3 linked regions of the Rhinolophus ferrumequinum genome follow. The protein of the gene in region 1 interacts with the protein of each later gene in a pairwise test. Links are inferred from orthologs where the notes say so. Each region holds a gene or a part of one and is shown in the gene's direction. Other genes may lie near its edges.

The links.
Region 2: the proteins of RASSF5 (region 1) and RASSF2 interact in binary tests that used the Homo sapiens proteins (3 or more experiments, as listed by UniProt). The link is inferred for Rhinolophus ferrumequinum from reciprocal best matches to the Homo sapiens genes RASSF5 and RASSF2.
Region 3: the proteins of RASSF5 (region 1) and MYLIP interact in binary tests that used the Homo sapiens proteins (3 or more experiments, as listed by UniProt). The two-hybrid records come from large-scale screens. The link is inferred for Rhinolophus ferrumequinum from reciprocal best matches to the Homo sapiens genes RASSF5 and MYLIP.

Annotation. Positions count from the first base shown.
Region 1 is NC_046305.1:24,875,789-24,885,477, reverse strand, and holds the start of RASSF5 (ras association domain-containing protein 5), read left to right. Parts: upstream 1-5,659; 5' UTR 5,660-5,683; coding exon 5,684-6,143; intron 6,144-9,689. UniProt on the Homo sapiens protein: Potential tumor suppressor. Seems to be involved in lymphocyte adhesion by linking RAP1A activation upon T-cell receptor or chemokine stimulation to integrin activation.
Region 2 is NC_046306.1:26,448,920-26,459,141, reverse strand, and holds the start of RASSF2 (ras association domain-containing protein 2), read left to right. Parts: upstream 1-6,261; 5' UTR 6,262-6,456; intron 6,457-7,008; exon of another isoform or gene 7,009-7,426; intron 7,427-10,222. UniProt on the Homo sapiens protein: Potential tumor suppressor. Acts as a KRAS-specific effector protein. May promote apoptosis and cell cycle arrest. Stabilizes STK3/MST2 by protecting it from proteasomal degradation.
Region 3 is NC_046292.1:78,574,102-78,584,265, reverse strand, and holds the start of MYLIP (E3 ubiquitin-protein ligase MYLIP), read left to right. Parts: upstream 1-6,166; 5' UTR 6,167-6,405; coding exon 6,406-6,492; intron 6,493-7,589; coding exon 7,590-7,780; intron 7,781-10,164. UniProt on the Homo sapiens protein: E3 ubiquitin-protein ligase that mediates ubiquitination and subsequent proteasomal degradation of myosin regulatory light chain (MRLC), LDLR, VLDLR and LRP8. Activity depends on E2 enzymes of the UBE2D family.

The DNA of each region.
Region 1 (9,689 bases):
TAGAGCACCAGCTCTTAACAGGGTTGCCGGTTGAATTCCCACATGGGCCTGTGAACCGTTAGAATGGCTTCTCTGCCTCAGCTGTAAGGGGGGACAGTGCCTATTTCAGTGGATCTGCCCATGCTGGGCCATTCACATGTTCTCTGCAGGACGTCGCAAACTCTGCCTCAGTGTTCTAGTTGTGATCTGCGCCCTCCACAACTATATGGAAGGACAACGACTTGACTTGGAGCTCATGGGCCCTAGAAAAACATACTGTTTCCCAATATTCCCCAATTAAAAAAAAAAGAGTTAAGTCCTGGATTAGGTACAGGTGGGGAGCTACAGCAGCGTTCATTCATTAAACATTTAAGGAACATCTCCTATTTGCCCTGCGTAGTGTGATCAGAAAGACCAACAAGACCCAAGTGAGGGAGGCAGAAATGTCAAATTTTAATTGTGATTCATGTTAGGATGTAATATTAGAGACACAAGCGACAATGACAGCCCAGAGGAAAGAATGATGAATTAGTTCTCGGTGACTTGGGAAGGCTCTGTGGAAGACCTGGCACTTGGACTAGACCTTCAAAGTCAAACAGGATTTGATAGGGAAAGAAAAATGGAGCAAGATTTTGCTGATCTTTAAACTGCACCTACAAAGAGAGATCAGAGATTTTTAAACACTGTCGCTTTTACCACATCAGCCGGGCAGTGCAAAGGCAAAATCATGGATTTGAGTCCAGACTGTGACACGTTTTTGGGCCAGTCACATGACTTCTCTGAGCTTCCTTTTTCTCATCTGTAAGATAGGAGTACCAGCCATTTCACAGAGTGGCCATGAAGATGAAGTCATTCAAGCCATGAGTGCCTGCCACATTATAGGTGTTCGATGTGCATTTCTTGAGTAAATACGTATAACATGAGGATTTTCAAGGGACTTTCACAAACATTTTAATTCCCTGACAACGTTTTGTCATGGTCCCTGCTCATAGTCTAGCAATGGAAGGTATTACTGACCCTAATTACACATTGCAAACAACATCCACTTCCTTGGGAGGCTGAGCTCTGTGTGGGACAAGCTGCCCAAGAAGGGAAGGAAGTAGCTCGGAGAGCTAGAATCCTGCAATTAACAAGGGTCAGAGTGTTTTCTCTCAAATGTCTCTGGAGCGGTCACACAATCCCACATCACACAACCTACTGCCTTGGTCACATTTTCAAAGCATGGTCTGTGAGTCACGTTAATCAAACTCTCTTATAAAATACAGGACAATATCCAGACTTACTGAATCAATCTCTGGAGGTGGGGTTTGGGGTTTGGAACAAACTCATACTCATAAAGTTTGGGAAAGTGGGGGTGGAGGGCTGCCTCTTGTTGCCTCAGTCTGTACCACCCTTGCTCAGAGACACAGGGCTTTCTCCATTCAGGTCTATATTTAAATGTCTGCTCCTCAGAGACCACCCAATCTAATATCAGCCCCTGTCACTTTCTATTCCCATAATGTGCGTCATTTTTCATCATAACACTTATAACCTGACATTGTATTACACTTATGTTTGTATGTTTATTTTCTGGCCTTCCCACTAAAATGTAAGCTTCAGGAACATGTCTATGTCACCACTGTACTTTTAGTGCCCAGAACAGCACCTGATATATCATGGATATTTAATAATTGCTTGTTAAATAAATAGCTGCTCTGTGCCTTTGGAGACTGTGGTAGTGATGAGCTCTTTTCCCATTCTGAGCACACGGTAGGGTTGCACTTCTTGCTCCCTTGTGTAGGGTGGGCTGTGTAACCAGTTCTGGCCAATGAGTTGTGAGCAGAAGTGACTGGCGCTTTTAAAGTCTGGTGGAGGACCCTCCGGGCTCTCTCGACTTCCCTCTGGCATGGTGACTGGCAACATTAGATGAGGTCCCTGAGTAGTTTTGATGAACAGAGCCCCCCTGCCAAACATAAAGGTTATGTGAGAGAAAAAGTCTCTGGTTTAAAGGCACGGAGATTTGGGGGTTGATTATTACCGCAGCGTAACCTAACCTGTCCTGACAGGTGCCGTGATCCTATGCAGAGAGCAGAGCTGTCAGAGTCACTGGGAGCTCCCTAAACGCTTCGGGGATTTCAGGAGACTTCAAATGCCTCAAAGCCAAACAAAACCAAAAACTTCCCCTTCAGAAAGTCAGGGCACTTGTGTCCTTCCCTTTTCCTTCCTACTAGGAAGCTCAGTAGGGGGTTGGGGGGCAGCCTTGAAACAACTCACCCAGTGGGGGAACCGACACTCTCGGGGACCACCTCGGAAATGACTTCACACACTGACCACACAACTCAAACTCACTATCATAATGCTTCCCCCGTCAAAAGTAAAAACAGCACACCCACTCCTCAGGGAGTGAGTCACAAACAGAAAAAGTCAATGGCTCTGGGCCACGAGGATCTGCTAACATAGGGAAAAGCTCACAGTGGAGGTGTCTCCCCTGCTGATGCTGTGGTCTTACCCGTGTAGCCTGCATGACAAAGACTGAGCCAAACAATGCTGAAGTTCAAGCATCAGACATTGCCCTGACCCTACAATGAAAACAGAGTTTACATAGTCGTTTGTGCTTCCCTTGGGAGTACTAAGGAATGAGATGCGTCCTTGTGTGCACGCGTGGGAGGGAGGGGATGTTCTTTCAAGGAAGAAGGGACAGGACTGGACTGTGTTGGGAAAGATGGCATCAGAGGAGCAAGTCATAGGCAGGGAGGCTTCTGCTGGGTTCGGGCAAGGCAACTACCTCTCCAGACCTCAATTTCTTGGCTCAGGGAGATGAACCTTAAGATAAACTTGATAAACTTTTGGATTGGTTACATGAAGTTATGCTATCTCCATTTTCATCTCTGTCCCCTCCAGAAGCTAAATGTATGGCTCTGGGCCTGCATAGTGGGGGTATCCTCCCCCACTTAGTGCTGAGAGCAGCCAGCACCCACTTCTCCTGCTGCAGAGCTGCCTCAGGAAAACAGAAACCAGGGCATTTTTCTGTACAGCTCAGGCAAGGGGGAAGGGTTTTTTTGTTTGTTTGTTTTGTTATGCCTGATTATTCCATATAGTCTTCAGTCTTCCAGGGCCAGAGGAGACACTCATTCAATGAGCCTCTCTATCCTGGGAATCTGGCCTGAGTTGACCAAACTCATGCTTGGGGGGTGGTGGGGGGTGGTGGTAAAGAGCATAGATGTGATTGCTGGCAATTTTTTCACAAATGGCATTTCAAAACTGCCTCCCAGTAATGAACTCTTTGCCAGGTCCCCTCTTCTTGCCACACCAAGCTGGCACCCAGAGCTCACACTCGGTCCACACCCTAAACCTCACTCACTCCTGGGTGGGAGTGAGCTCCAGAACGAGTCTCAAGTTGGTGGAGATGGATAGATAACACAGGGTGGAAACAAGCAAATATTTATATGCAGTACAGGTTTCTGCATAACCCTGAGAGCCAGCTTGCAGAAAAAAGTGGGAGAGATGGGAATAAGAGAGCACAAAGGCGAACTGTACTTTCCTTTTTAAACATTCAGCTGAAAGCATTCCAGAATAGCCCTCCCATTGGGTTTTGCTCAGTCATGTCCCACTGCACTTCACCTGCCCTGTGGGGAAAAGGATGGAGAAACCCATTCTCTTATCACCATCTTAGATCTGGAGCAGTGGGGTTCCTGGAACAGCAGCATCAGTACCACCTGGGCACTTGTTAAAAATGTAAAATATCAAACCTCTGCCCCAGACACACTGACTCAGAAACTCTGTGTGTGTATGGGGGTGGTGGTGGTGGTGGTGGTGCACTAATCTGTGATTTAACAAGCCCTCCGGGTGATTGCCATGCATGCCAAAGTTTGAAAACCGCTGATGAAGAGAAAGCAAATTTCAGACAGGGGAGAGGAAAGGTGGAGTAGGGGAGAAGGGGGTGGCTGGTGGCTCACAATTCTTCATCTCAACTCCTCTTTGTAGCTCTGTGGTGTTTGTTGCTGTGGGTCATTCTTCCCACCTACCCAGAAACCACATCATGAGGTGAGAATTTCCAGCCTCTGGTGAGATCCAGGGACCCTGCAACATGTCCTCTGCTACAAACGCAGAGGACTCTATGATCATCCCTGCCCTGAGGGAGAAGCCATGGACCAAAGCAGGCTGGGAATTCCCTGGCCACTAGACTAGAATTGCTAGGAATTACCTAAAAATTACTCCGAGGGGAAAATGAAAAGCAAAGGTGGAGATTCCCCCCATCAGACACTAGGGGGAGACCCATCTCTAGCCTGGGAAGAGGAGGAGTCTGAGAGCTAGAAGAATTTAGACTATTCCTAAAATTGGTTTCTGGTGACTTCTGATAAACCAACCAACCCCTACCCGAGTTTTAAGAGGACAGGCAGTGATCACTGAGTCAGCGTGGTGGAGCTGGTAAGGACTACAAAAGCATACACCTGTCCCCTCACTCCCAGACTAATTTACAGTTAAAACCATAGAGGTAAAGAGGGCCCAGGGTCATACAACTGGTCTATGTCAAGACACAAGTTCCAAGATCCAGGAGTTCCGTTTCCTCACCTATGAGAGATAATCAGGACCCGCTATATAATTTGTGGGCCCTTTGTTAAAAAATTATTAAGGCTATCAGGACCGTGACAGCAGAGCATTAAAGTGGGGGGGGGTGACGGAGATGGTCGTGATGCTGGTAGCAAAGGGATCTGTACTTGGGTCCCACAGGTGAGCTGTCAATATCAGATACAAAGTAGGGCTTTGGTGTGTGTGAGGGGGGTGCGGGGCTGGTATTTCCACAGTAATTATAACAGCGGAGGACAGGAGGGTTTGGTTTTGGAAGTAAAGCTCTCCCAACCCACGGGCCGCTAGAGTGTTCTCACAATCCAGGGCCCGTGGTTACCCTAACCTCACTCTTCTGGGCAAGGAATATCCTACCGGCAGGGCAGCTAATAGAGGGGAAATCCACGGAGAGTGAAAGTCGCACGCGGATAGCCTCGCCCGCCGCGGGGGACAGCTTCTTGGGGTCAGCATCTGCAGCGTCCCCTCCGCCCCCGGCGCGTTCCCCCGCATCACCGGACTCCGCGCGGCTGTGGGAGTGAGAGAGAGAGCCCAGCATTTCCGACTACCGCGGGGCTTGGCTCGCCGGGGGCGGGGGGGGCGGGGGGGGCAGGGGGCAGAGTGGGAGGGAGAAAGAGCAAAGGAGCACATCCCTCCGGTCCGCTGGAAACAGGGAGCGTGGCGGGCGGACACCTACCTAGCCATGGACTTCTCGTTAGACTCCATTCCCTGCTAGCTCCCAAGCCCTTCCTTCCGCCCGCCCTCTCACCTGGGCGTGTTGGGGTGCGGGTGGGGGTGAATGGTGTGCGGGGAAATGACGGGAGAGGGATAGAGGCGGGCTGAAGGCAGACGGCCCTCTACAGAAATGCTTCATCTGAGTTGTACCGAATAGAGTCTTTCCCATACGAAATCCTCCAGTTGCTCCAGCTGACCAGTCCGCTTCCTGAAGACGCCCCGAAATCCACACCCACTCGGGCACCCCCCACTGCCAACCCTGCGGCTTGGTTGGTCCGCGGTTCCCTGGGGTCGTCCTTCCTGCCTCTCCGGAGTCTCCCCGCCCCCGCCCCGCCCCGCAGCCTGCGGTCCCTTTAAAGGCCGCTGGTCTGGGGCCGCCCTCCTCTCGAGGAGGACTCGGGAGTAACGCCGCCGCCGCGTGCCTGGCATGGCCATGGCGTCCCCGGCCATCGGGCAACGCCCGTACCGGCTGCTCTTGGACCCAGAACCGCCGCGCTATCTGCAGAGCCTGAGCGGCCCGGAGCCGCCGCCGCCGCCGCCTCCCGGCCGGTCCTCGTGCCGCTGTGCCCCCGCGCCCCTCTCCACTGCGCCCGGGGCGCACGAGGGGCGCAGCGCCCGAAGGGCTGCCCGAGGGGACCCGGAGCCCCCACCCCGAGCCTCCCGCCCCGCTCGCCCTCTCCGGCCTGGTCTGCAGCAGAGACTGCGGCGGCGGCCTGGAGCGCCCCGACCCCGCGATGTGCGGAGCATCTTCGAGCAGCCGCAGGATCCCCGCGTCCCGGCGGAGCGAGGCGAGGGGCACTGCTTCGCGCAACTGGCGCTGCGGAGCGGCAGAGGCTGGTGTGACCTGTGCGGCCAAGAAGTGCTGCAGCAGGCGCTGCGCTGCGCTAGTGAGTATGACGGTGGGCAAGGGGAGGGGCGCGCGGGAAGACCGCAGTCAATGGGCGAGCGGCTGGGACCGGGAGAGGGCATTGCGCTCCCTGGCTCCAGGGGATTCCTCAACTTTAAGGGAGATAAGCCCTGGAGACTGCTTCTTAGTCCGCTGTCGGGTATCTTTTAGTGACTGCCTACTGCCCAGATTTGGTTCTGCGGTATTTAGTAAATACCTTCTCCTGACGGGTGCATACCTATCCCCCCCCAGATACACACGTGTATACACACACACGCACACACACACACACAGACACGCAGGTTGGGGTTGATGGTGGAAGACGCAAGGTCATTCCGTTGTCTCCTGAGCACCCTCTTGCTTTTGTTGTAGGTTCTTGAGAAAGAGTTGTGAGAGTGAAACTGGTATTGAGTTGGCGATTTGACCCGTGCTTATTAAGGGTTAATGACAAAATGGCATGTTTGTTCATCTATGGTATAGGAGGCCCATGGTACATGTCCCTGTATGGTACATCCTCCAGGGGGCCCTGTTGGGACAGGAAGGAGACCTGGTTAGGCTTTGGATAGAAACAGCTGTGAGGCTGAAGAGAGTCGGAGGTCACCCTGGACCTGTGCCCCCTCCTGCTTTCTACCTCTGGCCCCTCAAACCTTTGGACTCTGCTCTAATGTTTGACTCTGCCCTGCTACCTCCTCTTCTTCCTCCTATGTAACTGCATCTGTCATCATGCTCTAAAATTACCCAACTCTGGCCTGGTCCCTTCATCCCCAGAGCTCTCAAGCCCCTCTGGCCTCCTCCTGAGTCAGGCTCTTCTCAAATCTGACTAGAAAACACTAGGCACCAAGCGTGCAGATTTTCTGAGCCAATCTGCAATATTCTTGGGAGTTTATTATTTTTCTCTTCCTACAGTTTTAGATGTGTGTGTTTTTTTCATGGGTGTCCTCTCCCCACCTCCATCCCCCCATTTTTGCTGTTGCCCATGTTTGGCAGAGGATATCCATGTGTTTATGTGTTTATATATGTATTTAAAATATCTGAGGCACAAAGCACAGACAATGGAATAACTCTAGCAAGCATCTCTGGAAATGGATTGTGGTTTGCATCTTTCAGCAAGGGCCCTTCCCCCATGATCTCCCATCTAGCTGCACCATTGGACAGCACCAGCTACTTCCACGTCAGGAAAACCCTACCTTGCCTCTCTGCAGCCGGTCCACAGCTGAGGCTGTACAGTATGCCTCCCATTGCAGCTGGCGGCAGGGGAAGAGAGCTCAGAATCTAAGCCAGGGTTAAATGGAAGGGGAAGATTGGAGGGGGAAGGGGGTGCTAGTCCCTCCAACACCAGAACTCACAGTTCAGATGCCGATTAAAAAGGAAAGAGCAAAAGTTGTAGAGGTGTGTATGTGGGTGGAGGGCTGTTATCACTGGTAAATGCCCCTGACCTTCCCGTAGAATTGAATGCCCGCGGATGTGTTGGCAGCTTTGGCCTTTTCAAGGCTCTTGGAGTACTTTACTATGATCACCAACCCTGTCGACACAGAGGCAGTATCCTCACTGTAATGGGTTTTATTGTGTGGGATTCCCGGGAATCTGCTTCACTGGAATTTTATTTTGTATTAAGATGTTTGGGGACTATATCAGTTGTTGAACATTTTGCATAGTTTTATGATTGGGGGGGTGGTGGTAACAGTGTATTTGTGTGTGTTTGTATGTGCATATGCATGATACTCTATGACTAAATGAATTGATGTTAACTTCACATTAAACTTTATTTCCTTCGATTGGTTCATAAATAGTTTCTCATGGCAGGAAGACCCAGGTGCATGGACATTTCCTCTGACTTTGTGTGACTTGGTGGCACTTGCATAGGTTTAATACCAACCAGGGATATCTGAACACCAGAGAGAGAGAGAGCAGAGCTGGAATCAAGGGGCTATGGAGAGGAGTCTCTGTTTGTCATTACAGATATTTAATTGTGGGCCTGCGACTGGATGGGAACAGTTAAGAAATATTCTGATGTGAAAATGAGGACGGGTAGGTGGAGACACAGCAAGCCGAACTCACTGAGCATCTTTCTTTAAACTGAAGGTCTAATTCCATGGCAGGGTTGGTTTATTTTATCTTTGTTCTAAAAAGCAAGGGTCTGAAGTACGACTTGTAAAAGGCAGCAGTATGCAATGATTAAGAGCACAGCCTGGAAGCAGAAGACCAGGGTGTGCATCCAGGGTGTGAACTCTGCCACCAAGTCTCAATGTGCCCCTGGGAATCTCTGTGTTCCGATTCCTTGTTTTAAAAAATGGGGAAGATAACATTACCTATTTCATCATGTTACTGTCAGAATGAAATGAATTGATATATATAAAGCACTTAGAACAGTGCCTAAAAAATGCAATATGAATGTTTAATGCAATGTGAATGTTACTATTATCCCCTCCCACTCAACAGTTGTGACAGTTTGTCTGGGTTTGGGACACTTCTTAGGATCACCTTCCCAAGCAATGCGTGCAGTTTTCAGATGCTGTCTGGCTGCTTAGCTAAGTGGGGTAGCGCGTGCCATTAGTATCCCCGGAAGTGCAGGTATCAGTGTCCTCTAGACACGGTCACTCTGCCTGCTGGCTGAGGAGCATCCTCACAGAACGTCAGTGGCTTAGTGGTCACCAGGATGCTGGCACCTTGTCTTTGTATCGTAGACCACACGCTCAGTAAGGAGTGGCTGACGAAGGCGGCAGCTTATTACTATTAAAGCTCCTTGCTCTTGGAAGCAAGCAGAAGGGCAGTGGGTATGTGAATGACATCTGTCTGAGCAGGAGGCTGACACTGGTGGGAGCCCTGTTGGCAAAATGGGCTTTTAATAAGGGAAGCTTTTAGAAAACTGCCTGCCTTTTTAGTGAAAGTTACTCTAATTTAAGCTTACCCCTGCTTCAAGGTCTGTATCTGAGCTCTGGTTAATGCTGGATTTGCCAACAGGGCGGTTCAGGGTTAATATTAATTTCCAGGATCGAAGGAATCGTGTTTGTTAGATAGAGAAGGAAATCCAATGAGGATTGGTGGGAGGGGAGAGAGAGAGAGAGAGAGAGAGAGAGAGAGAGAGAGAGAGAGAGAGGTGGTTGTGTGAATGTGTGCGTGTGTTTTGGGGTGGGGGCAGTGGCAGGGGTGAGAATATCCATTTCCAGCACTCCAGGAGGGAATGGTCAACATGAGAACCTCAGCAACTGTCTTTCAGCTTTGTTCTCAGGGAATATCCCTTATCATAGACCCTTTTCTCTGTAGAAGGCACATTAGGTTGACATTTGACTTTTCACCTCATTTTGGTGGATGTGTAAGCCTTCCTGGACCAGAGACTGATCTGGAAAATGGGGAAACCTAAGTCCCACTCAACCAAGAGGATTGCTTGGACGTACCTTGCATATTGCCAGTGAGTGCCATGCATCTGCTCCCGGAGCCTGTCTCTCTGGAAGGGGCGTTGTTCAGAGCTATGAAGTGTGAAGTGATTGGAATTATAGGGTTGAAAGGGGGGCCCTGGGGCTTATCATCCTAACTTACCCTTCCTGTG
Region 2 (10,222 bases), on another chromosome or scaffold:
GACTTGTGCCAGCCAAGACCCTGGTTGTGTCAGCCATGGCCCCTTTATCCTGTTCGGTTTCTTCTCTCCCCTTTGTATTAAAGGCTTTTATTTGTTGTGTTTCTTTTTATTCCAGCTGTATGGAGATATAATTGACATATAACATTATGTAATTTTAAGGTGTACAGTGTGATGATTTGATACACTTATATATTGTGAAACGACTACCCCAGTAAGATTAGTTAACACATCCATCACCTCACATACCGTTTCCCCGAAAATAAGACCTAGCTGGACCATCAGCTCTAATGCGTCTTTTGGAGCAAAAATTAATATAAGGGGCCGGCCGGTGGCTCAGGCGGTTAGAGCTCCATGCTCCTAACTCCGAAGGCTGCCGGTTCGATTCCCACATGGGCCAGTGGGCTCTCAACCACAAGGTTGCCAGTTCAATTCCTTGACTCCCTCAAGGGATGGTGGGCTCTGCCCCCTGCAACTAAGATTGAACACGGCACCTTGAGCTGAGCTGCCGCTGAGCTCCTGGATGGCTCAGTTGGTTGGAGTGCATCCTCTCAACCACAAGGTTGCTGGTTCAACTCCTGCAAGGGATGGTGGGCTGTGCCCCCTGCAACTAGCAACGGCAACTGGACCTGGAGCTGAGCTGCGCCCGATACAACTAAGACTGAAAAGGACAACAACAACTGGAAGCTGAACGGCCCCCTCCACAACTAAGATTGAAAGGACAACAACTTGACTTGGAAAACTGTCCTGGAAGTACACACTGTTCCCCAATAAAGTCCTGTTCCCCTTCCCCAATAAAATCTTTAAAAAAAAAATTAATATAAGACTTGGTCTTATTTTACTATAAGACCCGGTCTAATTAATATAATAATATATAATAATATATAATAATATATAATATATAATATAATATAATATAATATAATATAATATAATATAATATAATATAATATAATATAATATACCGGGGCTTATATTAATTTTTGCTCTGAAAAACACATTAGAGCTGATTATACGGCTAGGTCTTACTTTCAGGGAAACACGGTAGTTACCTTTTTAAAAATTCTGTTAAGTTCTTTATCAATTAGCTACTGCTATATAACAAACTACCCCTAACCTTCATGGCTTAAAATGATAACCATCTATTTAGCTTGTACTTTTATTGGTTGGCTCTTTGGGCTAGACTCAGCTGGGCTCCCTCATGCATCAGTGATGAGCTCTGGGTTGAGGAGGGGGCTCTACTGATCTTGGTCGGGTCTCGCACATGTCTGGGACCTGGCTCTGGATCGCTCATCCTCCTGGAGGCTAATTCAGGCTTATTCATGTGGCAGAGCCATGTTCCAGTAGAAAGTAGAAGAGTGGAAAGCTTCTTGAGGCCCTTTTCAGGCTCTGAAAAGGTGTAATATATGACTTCTGCCACATTCTATTGACCAAAGCAAGTCATAATGTCAACCCAGATTCAAGGTGGCGAAATAGATGCCATCTCTTTATGGGAGGAACTGCAAAGTGTATGCAGGTAAGAGACTAACTGTGACCATTTTTGGCAATCCATCTACTAGGTTCGGGTAACATTGCCAATATACCAAGTCTTTGAATCAGAGAAGTGTGTGGGTCCCTTCAGTGTTACTTAGCAGCAGGTCCCCGAAGCATGGCTGCTTGGGCCCCCGAGTCCTTGAGGCTTATGAAACAGTCCTTTGAATTGTAACTTAGAGCTTCTCCCATCTTCCCAGAAAACTCCCACCTTCCACAATGTGCCCAGGGGGCAGAGTTGAGTGACAATCTCACCTCCCTTCTGTCAACTAAAGCTTTATTACTGGACCAAACTTGGTTTCTTGTTTCCTTAGACTGAAAATTATCTCCTAGGAGGGCCGTTTCTCACCTCTCAAACAAGTGCATTTCTAGCCAGCCCACCACACTAGGTGTCAGACATGTCCAGATGTTTTCGGGTCCCAGTGGCAGAACTTAAGCTTCCTTTTTTCTCCATAACTCACTAGATCTGCCTTGTAGATTCTTACCTCCTGTATAGGAGAGAGAGAGAGAGAGAGAGAGAGAGAGACAGAGACAGAGACAGAGACAGAGACAGAGACAGAGAAAGGAGTGTGATGCAATAATATAATCAGTTCCAGGGATCTCCTTAGGTGACAACTCTCAGAATTCTTCCTTCCCTCCCCAGGTCTCTCCAAGGTAGATCTTCCGGGTAGGTTCTGTCTTTCGTTCTCTTGTGGTGACATGTGAGGATGCTATCTCTGAGTCCTCCTGGATCCCCCTGCAGAGGGCCTGCTCTGGACCATCCCTTGAAAACTGAATTAGTTAACCATTAGGATGGGTGATGGCGCCATTCCTGAGGGTCTGGCTGGCATCTACTGCTGATGCCTTCAGCTTGTGTACCTCGCGGTCTGGGTGCTCCATATCCCTTCAGAGCTCTGCAGTGCTCCCTGCCCTCCTTGATCTTAATTCGGCCGTGCTCCCTCTGAGTCCCTATTACGTCCTCCCGTCAGTCCTGACTGAGCCTTCAGGGGCAACGTGCCTCTCTCCATGCTAGCTCTTAGAGCTAACGATTTGCGTGTTCTGTGTCACATCCCCTTAGCCCACTGCTCATCTCTGCATAACCATGGTGGGCAGCTCTATGCACAATGACTTGTCCCACCTCAAGTACCAATGGCAGTGGCTCCTGTTTTTCTGCCTCAGATGTTTCCTTAAGGCCAAAGATGTTCACAGAGCCAGAACGTAAGAAGAGGTAAGCTCTCCCGGAAGTAATCCTCAACAAGTAGGGGATGAGAGTCAGCAGATAAATGCCCCAGCCCCCTGACTTCAGAGAGGACAATTCTGAGGTACATTTTACACGGTTCTTCAGAGGGTCCCCAGAGGAATGGAGTCCCAGTTTACACATCCTTTGTTAGCATCTCCTCTTTGCCTGTCTCACTCCTCTGCTTTCTGGAATCAACTCTTAAGTAAATGACTTGCACCCAAGTCCTTGTCTCAGGTTCTGCTTTGAGGAAACCCAAACTAAGACAGGCCCTACGGAAGGCCTACAGCTCACAATCTAGCTTCCTTCTGAGGCTCCTGGTCCTTGGGAGCAGGTAGGAATTTCTGCATCATGTGCTATGCAGGAATTGTGGGGGTGACCCTAGAAAGCTGTGTAACCATGTTGATCTACTAAGTTGACTTTGATGAGGCTGTCCTCTCCCCTAGGTCAGTGCCTGAGAACAGAAGAGAACAGCCAGTGTGTCAACATCCTCTCCTCTATCCCCAGAACTCCCCTTAACCCTTCAATATTCCTCGGCACTCTGATGGAAATCACAATCAGGGAAGATGCAGCATTTTCGACTGTCTGTGTCCCCTCCTTCTCCCTTCTCCCAGGATCCACTGGAAACAGAAGAGTGGGCTTTGAGTCTCTCACTTCTCTGAATATCCTGCTTCTCCTCAGGCATAAAGTAGAACTCCACTGGTAAAACCTATCTCTTGAGATGTTATAGGGGGACATAAAGGAATTCAGAAAATCATTTTCTCTGGACATGCTTGACATTCTTGCCACTGTTCTGCTAAAGAGATAAGGAAAATCAGCTTTGAAACTTGAGCTCCTCAGTGACGTCTTTGCTCCCAAAACGTGTGCTGTCCCAATTTGGCAGCCACTAGCCACATGTGGCAATTGAGCACTTGACATGTGACTAGTGGAGCTGAATTTTAAGTGTATGAAATCTTAATTAAAACTTAAATTAAAAAACTAATACTCATTTCAGTTATTGGGCAACTTTTAAGCAAGTTGTTAGAAACAACTTGGGTAAGTGAATCTACTTTCTCAAGTAGAAATTATATAAAATCTAAATACAGATCAAATATTTTTGATGAAAATTTAATGTCTGAATTGCAATGTGCTGAAGTATAAATACATACCTGATTTTAGCCTTAGTAAAAAAAAATAGAATGTAAAAAATAATTTCTTTTTATTGTTTACCTGTTGAAAAGGTAACATTTTGGATATTTTGGTTTAAATTCAATATATTATTAAAGTTAATTTCACTTGTTTTTTACCATTATTTTTTTAAATTGCGGAATATTGGGGAACAGTGTGTTTCTCCAGGGCCCATCAGCTCCAAGTTGTTATCCTTCAATCTAGTTATGGAGGGCGCAGCTCAGCTCCAAGTCCAATTGCGGTTGCAGGGGGGGTAGCCCAACATCCCATGTAGGAATTGAACCAGCAACGCTATTGTTCAGAGCTTGAACTCTAACCGAGTCATCCGGCCACCCCTGTTTTTTTTTTTTTTTTTTTACCATTTTTAATGTGGCTTGAAAGTCTTAAACTACACCTGTGGTTTGCGTTGTATTTCTTTCAGAGCACTGGTTCTAGGTAATGCTTATCTTGGAGCTTCCTGGTCCAGCTGGGGGTAGGGGAGCGGGGGAGGGGAGTTGCTGGGGCTGCAGGGTAACAGGGTTTAAGGGGAGGAGTTTTAATGTATCAGTTTAATATTTGCACAATATTATCCCTGGTACAGATAGATGTATTGTCCCTATGTTGCATTGAAGGATAAGGGCCTATTCCTTTCTCTTATGGTTTCTATATGAGGAAACTGATAAGGAGAAAGAGGTTTTCTGGTGTTTTGAACCAATAAATCTATTCACCAAGATGGAGAATATAAGCTGAGATGGATAGATTTTGCTTTAAGCAGGGCATAGATTCAGGGTTCTTGGCAACCTAATTTGGACAATGTAAGCCCACCCCTGGCCCCAGTTGATTGGTCATAGGATAGTCACTTGACCGAAGCTGGGCCAATGGGCTGCTCTCCTGGGAGACTGGAATAGAGACTAAGGGATTCTAGTTCCACTTGGCTGCTTAAACAGGGGAGCTCCAAGTTCCAGTGACATAAGTGATGGCTACCGTTTGTCATGTGTCTGGGATGTAGGGAAGGCCAGTCTATGATGAAATGGAAGAGCTGGCCCCTCACAGAAGACTTCCTAGGTTACTGGAAGCCCTCCAGGCTCTGGATTTTCCTCTTACTGAGCTTTCCCTGCAGTTCTGACCCTGAGGCTATAGGCCATGTCCTCAGAATACATTCCCCTGAGGGTGTTCATGTTACCTGCAAAGAAGCTTAACTAATACAGTGTAGTGGCTCCAGGGGGAAATTACTAGAACTTTTTGTTTATAGCTCAAGGGACAAGGACCAGAAGATTTTTTTTTCTATAGAAAAAGCTGGTTAGTGGCCTCCTTGTTCCTGGGTAGCTGACAGTTTTCAGCACCACCCTACAGCTGCGTTTTGGGTTCAAAAGACTTTTGTGGCTGGCCTGGGAGGCAGATCATCATTTATAACATTGTTTCTAAGGGAGACACATTCCAAGATCCAAACAATGAATTTAGTAAAGAATGTTTGGCTTCCAGGAGGGATGAGCTGATCCTGCTGTATCCTAGGGGTTGGCTACCCATTAACGGTTAGGTCCCCTTCTATTTTAGCACGATGACTGACTCTGCAGAGCTGGAGTTTGTATGTGGGGAGAGAATTCTGATAAGAGGGAGGGAACAGATGAGTGCCCCCGCTCCCCCCGCAGCTGGGGTGCCTCAGGGCTTCTTGTGCTCTGAGAGCCCCTGGAGGTCCACGCTGCATAAGAGGGGGAGGTGAGAGGTGGACAAAGACACTTGGCCTCCTTCACATTACTGTCACGTCTGCCAGCCCGCGAAGTCGAAGGGGCCTGGCTTAGACTCCCCTGCTCAACTCAAACCCTTTTTGGAATAAGCGTGATGTTAGGGGGGCGGAAAAAAATCCTACATCCTCTGCCTGGGAAATCCGGAGCGCTCGAGGTGGGCTCCGCGGGGCAGCGTTACTGTTCCCAGGGAGCGGCTGTCACGGCGCGGGGCGAGCCGAGGGGCTTGGGCCAAGACTCCATCCCTCTAGGAGATGGCAGACAGAATGGGGCGAGGGGAGCCAGCTCATCCCCCCCCACCCTCGCACTCTTACCCCGTCCTCCCCACTCCCAGCCCGGAAGAGGAGCTAGCAGCCCGAGCCCCGTCTCACGGAGGGGAAGGATGGGACGCATATCCACAGCATTGTCTGGGAGGGAGGGGAGAAGCTCCGCCCCCCCCACGGGGGAGGGGAAAGGGGGGAGGGCGGGCGGGAGAGGAGGGGAGGAAGAAAGGCGAGGGAAGAGGGGTGTGGGGAGCGACGAAGGGCTCGAGAAAGAGGGGGAGGGAGGACGATCAGACTGGATAAGGTACATAAAGACATTGGGGCGGGCAAGAAGGCGCGGAGGGGCGGAGGAGGAGGGAGAGGGGCGGAGGGGGAGGGAGAAGGGCGGGGCGCCCGAACCCCAATCGCGAGGCCGCCGCCTGCCCAGCCCCGCTGGATTTGAGCCGGACCCGCCGACCGCTGACCCACGAGCGTGCTGGAGCAATCCACCGGTCGTGACACCTCACTTTCCAATTCCACAGTCTCCGCAGCGCGTGCTAGATGCAGCCGGCTTGGCATACAGGCAAGACTCGGGGTGCTGGGCGTGGGGCGCGAGGCTGCAGGCGCGGGGTGCGGGACGCAAGGTGTGGGGTACCGGGCAGTCCTCTCTCCTCTGACCCCCCTCCTGCCTGGCCGAAAGTTTTCCCGCAGAGTCCCCTGCCTGGTCTAGGTCAGGCCCTCAGTTCTCGCTTACCCCTGGTCTCCTTCTAGGTCCCCCAGCCGCGGGGGTTCCCGAGGGTACGGACTCCAAAGGGGCCGCGTAGGCACGGAGCCCCAGCCCGCCCCCCTTCCTGCCGGAGAAAGTTGTGGCTCCAAGCTCGTCCTCCCGATCCGACCCCTGGCATCATTTCCTTCACTCCCGCTCCATTCCCGGGGTCCCCGGGACTCCCTGGAGAGGTGGGGCCGGGCGGCAGGTGCAGGGGTAGCAGGCCGCGACAGCCCTGAGGAGTGCCCGACCCCAGTTCGGTCCCCTTCTTCCTTGCCCAACGGACGTTTCCCCAGAAGCGGGTTCCAGACCGCCTCGCGAGCTCCTTCTGCATTCATTCAGAAGGTCGCAGGGTGCGCCGGCCCCCCTGTTCCTCCGGCACTTCCCGTTTTCAGTCTCTCCGCCCACCTCCGGAGCTGGTGCCTGGTCGTTGGGGCCCTCGCCTTTGCGTCCTCTGCGCCCAAGAGAGCAGGTGCCTTGGGCGGACCTCGGCCGCTTCTGTATTGCGAGCGCCTGCTTTGCATTCAGCTCCAAACCCGGGAGAGCCCTGGGGACAGCAGAGAGGCGCAGTGGCCTGACAGTGAGTCCGAGGGTTCCGCGGTTGCGTCTTGCCCATGGGCACTCTGTGGGCCCGGGGTTGTTCACAGCACCCCTGCGCCTCCGTGACAGGAGGAGCTAAGCACCAGGCTTCTCAACGCTACCATGCACTTTATAACCCAGGAATTCGCATCCCTAGAACGTATTCTGCCAGAGCACAGAGCGGTGTCTAGAGCCGAACAGGTTTATAGTAAGTACCTTACATGTGATGAATGAATGTTTGAACCAATGAGCTGACAAATAATAATTTGTCCTGGAAGGGGACTGGGTTCCTGCCACCATTGATCTTGGTACAATGGGAGGAAAGAATTAGAAACAATGATTCTTTTAAACAGCTGCCTGTGAGCTAGAGCCAGAGGCCTTCTTTCCAGAGAATCTGAATGAAGAATCTGAGGCTGGAATTAATTACTTATCAACCACATTTACTTACTGGGAACTTTTTCAGCAGGTGGTCTGAAGAATTAAAGACACTTCTCATGACTAAGAATATTGGGTTGTTTAAGAAGAGTTCATTATTTTTAACGTGTGTCCCAGTGCAGTGTCCCAGGGACTAAGTGTGGAGTTGGCTTGGGAGATGCCCATTTGGGATCAAAGACCCTGGATGAGGGCCATGAATCTGGGCACCAGCTGTGCTTTCTCCTTTGGAAAGGTCTGCTGCTGCCTGAGAGCTGCAGCAGTCCAGAGGGCCCCTGCGGGATAAGCGAGGGCCTCAAATGCTGGCTGAGCTCAGAGAGGTGGAGTAGTTTTGGAAAGAGGGTGGTTCTTCCCCTGGGAGGAGATGGTGGCATAGTGTGCAGCCTGCCTGTCTGGGCACCTGGGAGTCTGGGCTGGTACAGTTCAGGATTCCCTGTATTGGGGAGTGAGGTGAGTCCCTCTCCTCCTTCAGCGAGTACTGGGGACACTGGATAACCTTCGGAGTGCAACCTAGTCGTATCCCGTACTCCCCTACTCTCATTTTTATGCTGGTGAAATCTGTTGGAATGAGGAGGAGCACCTTTGGGGAGCCTGGCTGAAAGGAGGCCAGGGGCTCTGAGGTCTCTAGTCACGTCCTCCTCCAGGGGAAGGTGGGGGTGTGCCTTTTGCACCTGGCTGAGTAGGCAAGGCATGTGCAGTACCTGCACCTGCTGAACCTCCAGCCGGCAGGGTCCCCACCTTCCCGAGGGTGGGCTCACTCTGCCCCTGGGGCTCCAGAGCCCACCTCTCTGCATTTCTGCATGGCATCTCTTTGGGGGCTCAGGCTGCCTCTTCAGTTTGTGTTATTTTAGGAGTCGGTTGGGAGTGGTAGACAACCTTACACTTTATTTTCAATTCCTCAGTTCTCCTCACTCTTGGATGCGTTTGCCTACCTGGGACCCTTCAGTCATCTGCTGGTTTTGCTTTGATTTCCTGGTGTCCCAGAGCCAAGCTTTGTGTCTGCCTTCTGTGTGCGAACTGCTTAGGAATGGCCAAGAGGCTTGGCTGGAGAGATGCCCAGGACCCCACATCCTGGCATCTCTGCTGGAGTGCCAAGGGCTGGACTGCGGAGCTTTCCAGAAAGGGGTCCTGGCACAAAAGACAAGAAGACGTTGGCCTGATTATTGCTTTCAGTCCTCTCTAGGATATTTTGGCAGGAAGTGTGTTCACTGGGAGGTGGGGTGTAGAGGTGGGACCAGATTGCCAGAGAATCCCATGGAGAGGTTGGAATGCCCACTGGGTGGTCCAAGAGCAGTCCTGGGACTTCCTCCCGTCTCCTCCTCTCCCCGAGAGTGAGAAACTGGGAAGGTCTCCGCCATGCACTTGTAATAGAACAAGACATCTAGTCTCTGTCTTCAAGTCATAGTTGCTGCGAACTGTTACAGCTGGATTTATAAAACCAGGGCAGGGGTCCCCTCCCACCACTCTTCACAGTGTGGTCCAGTGATTTATCCCAATGACACACCACCCTATTTAAACACCTCCTTGCCTTTCCAGAAGAGTTTTAAATAAATCTTCAAGGTGGGGTAAGCTCCCACAGGCCTGTGATTGTGGTTTCATTTATTTGGCCTACTGGTAGGTTCCCAAGGAGGACGTCAAGGAAGGGGACGGGGCAGGAGGCACAGGGGAAGCAGGGCACAGCAAACACGGACAGCTTTCAGGCTCGGCTGGCTGGGTGACCAAGGGGTCATTTTTGGTCTTCCCTGCGATGGCAGACTCTGAAGCCTGTAATCACAGGTTGGTGTAGCTGCTCAGAATGACAGCTTGAGGCTGGAGGAGCTGCCCAAGGCAGCTGCAGCTGAACCAGAGAGGGCAGCCTCTCATAGGAGTAGGGGGCAGGGAAGATCATTTGGCTAATTCCCATGGGATGAAGAAAGGGACTTAGAAGGGCGTTTTCTATTACTTGTATTGATAAAAATTGGCAAAATGATACCTTGTGCTTTCTTTGGACATGTCAACCCAAAGTGATTTGGCAAAGTAGATTTATTTCACCACCAGCATGGCACTTTACTCATAGTTGGCACTCAGTTAAGTGTTTGTTTGATGAACTGCTCCTTTCTTTAAAAGTAATGAAAACAGTATTGAATTGCCTTCTACATTTTCTAGCTGCGTGGAATCGGGCAAGGCCAGCATCCTTCCCATGTTCTTTTGGCTTCAATCAGTGACTGCTGGGAGAAGGTACATAAGCACGCCAGCTCCCTCACCTCTGTTGGGGTAGTTTTGGGGCATGTTCTCTGCTATCTATGAGTTGCCTAGCAGGAGCGAATCTCAGTTGCTCACAGTAGTAACTGGCTCCCTTCATTGGCTGCCTTCCCTTCCATGTTCACTCTCCCATCCCCTTCCACTGGGACTTGAAGTCTTATCTTAGGGTCAACTTCTGGGGGACACCGACCTAAGATAGGCTTTAGTCCTTAGTTTCAAAGTCATTTGAAGTCTCTGAGTCTCAGTTTCGCCAACTGTGAAATGGAAATCATAACTGTCTCACAGGGATATGGTATTATGTGCTCATCCAGGGGCCTGGTAAACAGCCAGC
Region 3 (10,164 bases), on another chromosome or scaffold:
ACTGATGGATGAATGGATGTAGAAGATGTGGTATATGTGTGTATATATATATAGTGGAATATATATACAGAATGGAATATTACTCGGCCACAAAAATGAATGAAATCTTGCCATTTGACAATATGGCCATTGATGGTATAATGCTAAGTGAAATAAGTCAAAAGGAGAAAGACAAATACCAAATGGTTTTGCTTATATGTGGAATCGAACAAAGAGAGAGAGAGAAAGAGAGACAGAGAGAGAAAGAGACAGAGAGAGAGAGAGAGAGAGAGAGAGAGAGAGAGAGAGAGAGAGAGAGAGAAAACATTCACAGTACTGAATTCCAAAACAGACCCTCAGTTGACTCAATACTTGCATAACCTATAAGCATATGCTAGAAAGAGTTTGACTCTGGCTAACAAGTTACCATGTTGCTCAGGGAAAATATGAACTAAATCTCAATTGATGAGTTATTAATAGTTCCTTCGCCAGGTCAATAACAATAGATACATATTTGATCTTACCTATTATATAGAAAATATATTAAGATGTGAAATGTGTGTGGGAGCGTATGAAACTGCTGTCTTCCTGAATGCTGTGGACTGAATTGTGTCCCCTCAAATTCCTATGTTGAAGCCCTAACCCTCAATGTGATGGTATTTGGAGGTGGGGCCTTTGGGAACAATTAAGTTGAAATGAGGTCATGAGGATGGGGCTCTCGTGATGGAATTAGTGCCCTTATGAGAAGAGACACCCGAGAGCTTGCTTCTTCTCTCTCTTTTACCATGTGAAGACATAGGGAGAAGATGGCCATCTGCAAGCCAGGAAGAGAGACCTCACCAGAAACTGACCATGCTGCCATCTTACTCTTGGCTTTGCCAGCCTCCAGAGCTATGAGAGAATAAATTTCTGTCATTTAAGCCATCCAATCTATGGTACTTTGTTATCACAACTTGAGTGGGCTAAGACACCGAAGAAAATTAAAAATCAGATCCTCCAAGATGAGAAAGAAGAAACAAACATTCCAGGTAGTGTAAGCAGCTGGACTTCTTACCTTTCTCTAGACTTACTCCTTGTAATTGTTATTACTATCTCCATACTGGTCCCGGGTCTGGGGGTCACAGTGTGTGGGGGGGGTGTGGGGAGATCTATTTACTTTAAAATTCAGACCCAAGTGAGACTATTTCCACCATAATCTTTACAAAGTTAAGACAGGTCTGGGCTGTTTGGGCAAGTGTTTGCAAATGATTAAGGGGTAACCAAAGGCAACTACACAAAAACTAGGTAGGTCAGTGAGAGACTTGGTTTGCTCTCTGCTCTTCACTTTGCCCATGTGGGCTTAACTCTTGGTGGACACCAGATTCACACCAACCACAGAGGAACACATGTTCAGACTCCTCTTCTCCTGGAAGTCTGGACCCAAGGAAAGGCAAGATTTCCTGCTTGTGTCATTCTGGGAAAGGCCCACGGACCCCACCTCATCACTGCTGTCTTCCTGGGCTCTGGGCGCTGAAATGTCTGCTTTGGACATTTTGGATATGGAGGGAAACATAGGGCTGGGTCCAAGGTTCAGCTCTCTCATGTCAAGTAGGAAGCGACAAAGCTGCCTCCCCCACCCTGAGATGCAGACAGCTTCCTGACTGACCTCTCCCAGGAATTCTGAACCAGGGGAGAGAAGAGGGAGAAAAAAGCAATTGATAGAGGGCTGGGTACTTATAGCCACTGAGTGATTGCCAGGGAGAAAGCAGACCTTTGCTGTCAAGTCATTTTTAAATAATCACAGTCTCTAAGAACATAGCAAAGCAAAACACTGAATAACTGAAAGAGGAGTAAGATTTTCCTATCAAGTGACATAAACTCTACAAATGTCAGCAACAATAAATGAGCTGGGCAGAGATGGTGTAATTGAAGTTTAGTGAGAAGTTGCCTCATGCCAAAGCATTCATAGTTTTATCTTGTTCTATCTTGTTTATTCAAATCTTGTGGTTTGTCCAACATACGTAGCTGATTTCATGTACTTTTGGTATTTCTATAGCATTTCTAATCATTGTTCATTTTTTCTTTGGGAAGTTGGTCCTCCCTAATGTCCCACTGATTTGGGAAGTGGCCATCCCCAGTGAGTTCTGTGTCACACCCATCCACAAAATATGTCATGTTGGCCCCACTTTCCTTTACAGAAAGGCATGCTCAGACACAGTGAGGGAAGGGGAGAGGTGTTATTACAGATCAACTGATTAGAACACCTTCCAGGTAGGACAGGTTTGTGAGTTTGAGCCTCAGGCAGATTGGGTCTGTCCTCTGTTCCATGGCTCCCAATTGCATACCCATCACCCACCGAATCTCATTCAAGATCAGCGTGATAGTGAACCCTATTGGAGGTGGATCAGTATCTGCATATCCCCAGACTTGAGGAGCACCTGTAACAACACAGGCCAAATTATTATTGATCATCTTCACAATTAAAATAACAGGTATCAAAATATTAAGCAAAATATTTTTGTTGTTAAACAAAATGTGCCAAGTTGGAAATGATTTCCCAGCTCTGAGCGTCTCTCCACTAAATGATGCATGCCAAAGTAAGCATATCACAAAAATCTGACGTTTCAGGGTATGAGTAGTGAGAAGAAAAACAAATAGAGGAAAGGCTTGTATGTATTTTAGAAAAGAAAACAGCTCAGAAACAATACTAATTTTTTTTCGTAATGATTGTTCTTTCTGTTTATAATTTTCCTGATAGTCATAACACTAGGTATGGATTTGGAACTGCACACCCCCTGTGTTTCTTGCTCTCCTGATATGTCTCCAGAAATTTATGTGCTGTATTTGTTTTTATCACAATCAAAATTTAGAGCACATTGCATACAAAGTACCAAAGTGAAACATCAATATGAACTAGAAATGCCTGATAAAGTTACAGGAGCATTTTTTTCCCTTGTACTTTTTAGCCTTTTCCAAGTAGTCTACCATGAACGTGAACTACCCTCACAAATAGAAAAAAATCATTGCGATTGTTCACTAACTAAGACGATGCTGTTTGGTATGTTCCAAAGTTTGTAATATGGGCTTTACCTCTTCTTCCTCCATCCCTTCATTCACTCTTCAAACAGCCAGTTTTGGAAGCGACAACTCTGCTTTGATGGTAGGCCACGGTTAATTAACCTACTCCAGAATTTCAAATGAGAGATTTCAGCTCATTCGACAATTCTAACACACTTGTGCAAAATTAAATATTGCTTATGTGAATAATTAGCTTGAATCACGTGTGAAAGCAAACGGACAGTTTTTTAGGCAGTCTCTAAGTGTTCTTCCTTTCATGCTTCTACAAATGAACATTGAGAGCTAAAGAGAAGCGCCTTTCCTTTGACCCAGAACAGGGTTTCTGCAGGGGTGTGTGCAGCGTTGGGAGAGGAATGAACAAGGATAGGTATCCAGCCAGCCAGATCAGACCTAGTGCTCAACAGGAAGAAAAATTCCTTAGCCAGACAGCCATCACATCACGTTCTGCAAATGTTAGCTTATGCTCAGTCTTTAGCCCTAGTCTATGAAACAGAATAACTGTGCTGCTTGGGTGATTTTGAACAGCCAGGACCCCACTGGCTTAGCTGACTCTACCACTTAGTTATGATTTCTATTTTAAAAAAATCTCCCTTCATGCAGCTGATCCTTGTACTTCCCTGGTTTATTTTAATGCTGTCTTTAAAAGGTGATAGCTATTTGAGAGCAAAGGAAAGAAGACAGATAAAATGTAGCACCTCCTTGGCTAATTCAGAACTGCTTGAGTCACAGCTTGATCCAATACAGTTACCACCCCCAGGCCAGGGTGTCAGAGTCTCTTATTTTGGAGTTAGGCCCAGCTGGGGCTTTTGAAACTGGCTCTAGACCTTTAGTAGCAGGACCAGATGGTGGGATCCTCTAGGAAGAAATTCTGCTGTGGACTTTCTAGTCCCTAACCAGGTCTTTGAGCATACTGTTCCTTACCCCAACTAACCTAGCTCTACTCAGGGAGGAAATGAGGACCGAGAAGAGGGAGAGGGAGGGAGGGAGGGAGAGGGGTAGGGAAGAGAGAGGGAGGGAAGAGAGAGGGAGGGAGAAGAGAGGTAGAGAGAGAGAGAGAGAGAGAGAGAGAGAGAGAGAGAGAGAGATTGGTCTTGTATTTCCTGTGTATGCTAATAGCAGCCAGTATTCTTTTTTCCTCAGTTATCAGGATCTCTCCCCCCTCCCAAATGCCATGTTTTTCCTGTTTTTGGCTTTCCTGCTTTTTTTTGTTTTGTGTTAAGAAATCCTTCTCCTCTTCAGTCTTATCTGATAATTTTTAATTTCTAAAACAACTGGATTTTTTTTTTTACCAACCATCTCATAACAGGAGCATAATCTGGTCTTGGATTAGAAATATGCCTGCCAAAATCAAAAACATAATTTATTTTTAAAGTTGTTTCTCTACAAAATGAGTATTTAATTTTTGCTTATTTTATTTTCGTTTGTTTATTTTTGCTCTTGGCCAACCAATATTTCTCCCTTTCTATTTATTTTCATGCCTAGTCCTCACTGATTCTATAAGCTCCCCAAAATTGTGTGCTAAATTCCTTTTTGCTGAAGTTAGCCAACTTTTGGTTAGCTGACTTTGATTTGGCCAGCTTAGTCTCTCAGTAAACAAAAATATTAACCAATGCACCTTGCTTCCATCTTGCCCCTCACCTCTTCTCCCTAGGTCTAAAATTTCTAGTGATTAAGCATAGATTAGATAACAGTCATCCAAATGTTGTCTTCCAGACCAATTTTCCAGATAAATAAACTGGAATTAAAGGAATGGGAAACAAGATGGGTCTATTTCAGCAACATAGTATCGCGAGGTGTATCCAAAAGACACATGTTCAGGGGCACATGGCCATCTGCAGCCCTGGAGGTCAGGACTTTTGACTATTTACAGTTTTCCCCATAGTTGGCTTTGGTGAAAGACTGTGGTAGTATCCTTCCCTGTAGCATTCTGCTCTGACATCCTTCCTACTTCTTCAGAACCAAAAGATTGCTGGGACAGAGATAACTGGGACTCAGGCAAAAGAGTAAGGACAGAAGTCATTGGCAGGCAATGACAGAACTGACATTACACATATACAGGGTCATTCAAATGCTTTTAGGAACATTATCTCTGCTGTTCTTCACAGTAATGCTGGGTGGGGAGGGGAAGCAGGCAGAGCAGATATCTCCATTTCACTGTTGAGAACCCCGAGCTTCAGAGAGATGAATTAAGTTTTCCAAGGGTTCAAGGCCAAAACCAACATCTGCTCTCTTCTCCTATAAAGAAACCAAAAAACTAGGCTGAATGATGTGTTGGCAGAGAGGAACAAGTAGTAAATGAATGAAGAGTTGTAGACCTTGAATAATTAATAGCTACTACTGAGGTTATACCACCTGTTAGGTTCTGAGATGAGTCCCTTACCTTTAAGACGGGGAGAACATTTGGTTGCCTGAGAGAAGGGATCGGCAGCACAGCAGATGCTCAATTAATGTTTAATGAGTGAATGAGATAAGACATGCGATAGGATGGGCAACCTGAGAGAGGGCCTTAGTACCTTATAAGGTGTTTTGATTCAACAGAACAGGTAACTAGAAGCCTCTGGAGAGGATTCATACAGAAGCACTAGATCAAGCTCCCTGACTTATTGGTCAACTGCCAAAACTTTTATACTCAGATGCGAGTTTTCCGTGACTAGGTCTGAAATGAGGAACAACCATTCGGCCTTTGGACAACCCACGGTAGCAAACCCCAGGAAAAAATAGTTGTCCTCAGGATTTTGGGTTGCTCCCTTTCCTTTTCGCTTTCACCTCCCGAAATACATTTCGGAGTGAGCCAGGGCGTTTCATCACTGTAAATTCAAGCCCGACAGAGAGGCGACTCTGCTTCAGAGCCCGTGGCGGTCGCTCGCTCGGAGTAGCGTCGCCCAGCGGGCAGAGGCAGCGGGTGTGTTCCCGGCCTCCCTCCTCCCGCAGTACTCGGCGCCCGCAAGCTGCCACCTCCCCAGGCAGCCCCGGAAAGCAGACGGCGCTGGGAGGTGGGGCCGCGGCCGATCCCGCGCCTCTATTAGCCGGCGGGGCAGCGGAGGCGGGGCAGAACCGCTGTGATTGGCGGGGACCCCAGCCGGAGGGGGCGGAGCCACTATATCAGAGGAGTCTCTGTCGCGGCGCAGGCAGTCTGGCTGCTGGAGTGCGGCGCCGCGGTGGAGACTCTGAGAGCCGGTGGGCTAGCGGGCTGGCAAGGGGGTGGCAGGAGGGCGCGGCGGCCGCGGGGCGCAGGACAAGGGTCTGCAAGGCGGCAGCGTCCCGAGGACCAGCCTTACTGAGACCCGGGCTGGGTCTGATTGGTGGGGAGGCGGCAGCCCCGCTCACACCAAAGAGGAGGCGGCTGTGGCGGCAGCCGCGGCCCCAGCCATGCTGTGCTATGTGACGAGGCCGGACGCGGTGCTGATGGAGGTGGAAGTGGAGGCGAAAGCCAACGGCGAGGACTGCCTCAACCAGGTGAGGACGAGGGGTCAGGCGGGGACCCTAGGCCGAGGGGCCTCGCGGCGGCGCAGTGCACCTGGGACGCACCGCTTGCCAGGGGCCGGGCGGCGCTGCGGTGGGGGCGGAGGTGGGGTGGGGGGGTGGGGTCGCGTCCCAGGCGCCCGGCCCGCGCCCCCTACTCCACCGGCTTGGGGCACATGGCCTCCCAGCCGGGAGCGCGTGGGAAACCGCAGAGTACGCGCGCGGTGGCCGGCCACCCTGTCCCCCGATCCCCCCGCCCCAGCTCGGCACTTTCCCGGAAGAAGGCGGACCAGAACATCTGCCGCAGGTGTGTGCATGAAGCCGCCGGTCGGGTCCCCGCGGGGCCTGCCAGCGACACCTGCGTCCCGGGATGAGGTGGCTGGAAGCGGTCACAGGTCTCTCAGGTTGTTTGGCAGACAAGCCGGGCCCGTGTCTCTTGCTGCTGCTCAAATGGACCATTCACCTGCATCTTCGGGTTTGCGAGGACGAGAGTACCGTTTTGGCATCTACTCCTCGCTTGTCTTTAAGCACGCGTTTCTTTAAGAGCGAAGAACGGTTCCAAACTGCATATTGGTAGGGCAGACAGCAGATTTGATCTCAAGTGAAACGCTGTGCTCTCAAACCCCCTAGACCTGAGATGTTTGGAAAACCCTTTCAAAGCTTAGCTGACACTTGTGGCGTGTTTCCTCAATGTGTTTGTTTTTTGGTAGTGCAGATGGTTAAAATTGTCCAGATACTAAGCTGCCAAATCAACTGTGTCGTTTGTGTTGACGGAGGGAATTTTGGTGATTAGAATAAGGAGGAAAATTCCCTGAGATTGCCCTCCTCAGCCTTTCTGGAAGGCTGCTTTTGAGGACTCCTTTTTCTCTACTGCCATTGGCCGTGTCCTGAGTATTAAAGGACATTTCTATGCTTCACCTAGTAGTTTAGCATCACTAGATCTTTGTTCTTCCAGTTTACAACAGAAATTGTAACACTGTTGTTGAACTTTGTAAAGAGTAGGCAGAAATCTTAGAGCCAGTGGAGTCCTTGGGTTTACTTTGACCACATGGACCATTTGCTCATCCATGCTGCATTCATTTTTGTTTCAGGTGTGCAGGCGATTGGGAATTATAGAAGTTGATTATTTTGGACTGCAGTTTACGGGTAGCAAAGGTGAAAGTTTATGGCTAAATCTGAGAAACCGGATCTCCCAGCAGATGGATGGGCTAGCCCCTTACCGGCTTAAACTGAGAGTCAAGTTCTTCGTGGAGCCTCATCTCATCTTACAGGAGCAGACTAGGTAAAGTGATGCTTAAATAAACCAATGTCAAATAGGCCTTTGGTTCCATTTAGAAAGGGTCATTGCACCTTCCCAGAGATGTTTAGGCAAAACAAAGGCAAATTTGTTTTGATACAGAAGAGTGAGTTGGTTCATCACTTCGAAGTTTTCCATGGCGCAGCCCTTATATCAAAGTGAACAGGGACCTATATAGTTGACATGGGGTACATTTTCCAACTCTTCTTGTGGTTTTTCTTGTCTTTATAGACAATGGGAGAGCAGGGTTGAATTCTTACAAACACAATGGCAGATGCGGGGCTGGGTGGGGGGGCAGTGGGAGGAGAGGAAGAAAGGAAGGAAAGAAGGAAGGAAGGAAGGAAGGAAAAGACCCACTGACTTCCTGATAGCAGCAGCTAATGCCCCAGAGTAACCCCTGCCTCTCAGCAGTGTTACTATAGGTCACTATAGACTGTTCTAACAGAAAGCAGGAAACCCTTCTTAAACTTGGTCAACTTCTTCAGGCTAGTGTCAGATTACAATGTGTAGCAAAGAGCTCTGTCCGACTTAATGCAGAATTTTAAAAGTTTTTAAGTTTCTGGAAAACTTAGAGAACTCTTTTAAGAACAGTATAACCAAACTCCATCCCACAGATATGTTATATATTATTGTTGCATTTAGATTGTTAAATTTATCGCTTTAGAACACCACCAGTAGTGGTAGAAAACCAGAGAAGGTGTTTTTCTCTTGCAAACCGAAAACATTTTCTTCTCTGGGCTGACTGGAATACTTTTCTAAAGGATGAGAAAACTAGGAAAGCAGTGTTGAACATTTATTGCTGAAATGCAAGAGACCTAAATCTTACAGTGGCATGTTAAAAAAAAAAATTAAGAAAAACAACTAATTCTAAATACAGCAAACTTTAGCTCTAAATTCTAATGTTTTCCATAATTGTTTGGCTTGGAAATTTTCTTGTACATAAAAATGTGAATGTGAAAATTTGAGTAATGATGAGTAAACAATACCTTTAAGAGTTTTAACATGACATTTTTTGTTTGTTTACCTAAAGACTGATAGAAACATATTTTGAAATACTGTTTATTTGAATTTGAAATCTCTGCTTTGTCTCATTATAGAGCTTTAAAGAGTGAGGGAAATGTTCAGTTTTGTTTCTGAAGGAACTGGTATATTAAATTCTTAGTGCTCTTGAAAATGTCTTGCAAAATATTCAAGTGATTACATGTTTAACGATGTTTTAGCTGTGTATTAATCAGAATGGGTTGAGGGTTTTCTTTTTTTTATTGAAAGCTGATTTGTGAAAGGTTCCACTTTGCATTTCTGTGTGATAACTGGCAGTCAAGTAAGAATATAATATATATATATATCACAATATATTGGAATTTTCATTGTGTACTTTTATAATGATTTTCAGTCATTTCAGGGCCTCCAGATGCAAATCTATTTTGATGACACAAATATATTTTTTAAATCTGTAGAAGCTTCGAAGAGCAAATACATCTTTTAAACAATGGCTACAGTTATAATTATATAATACATTTGTATAATGAATGCTTACAGACTTTAAAATTTACTACTAGACGGTCTTGTACTTTCTTGTAATTGAGTTAATAACTATTATCAAATCCATTTTATTCATGCAAGAAATAGAGACATTCTATGAATTAGAATTGGAATCAAATTTCCTACTTTATTGACTCAATTGGCTTTGACTCTTGAGATTCATACCTAATAGCGCTCAAAGAATACACATATCTAGTTAGACTAGGTAATTTTAATTGATTTTAGATCCTTTTGAAATCTTATTGAAAAATTAGTGTGATCTAAGCTTTTGACTTGCTTTTAAAATGTTGGAGCATTTTACTTGTTTTTTGTACCGTTGTCTGAAATACAGAATTCTAAGAAAATGTCACCTAAAATTTATATAGCATTGTGCCTTAATAACTACATAAAGTGATTTGTCATTAGCATTTGTACCTTTTCATTAGGATCGGAAGTTGTATTGGGTCCAGTTTAGTTATGGCTTGCATTGTTTGTATGTGCATGATACTATAGAACAAAAATAGTTATTTCCCCCAATATGAATGTTAGCAAGATAAAGCTGGTTGATAAACCTTTTGATGTTTAATTATTCATTATAAAATATTTACATAAAGTGACATGAAAATAAAATAGATCTGTTTAGGTAGTGAGTAAACTCAGCTTTACCAGTGCAATTATGAGAGGTGATTGTTTACCGTCTCTAAGTCAAGTCATAAGGGTACATTTAGTGTACGAAAAGTGTCTGGACAGTTTATTAAATGGCATGAAATATGCTGGTTGAGTTGTCCTTTGTGGGCAATTAAGTAGCCTCCTCACAGTAGAGCTGGCCTAACGGGGCCAGTTAACAC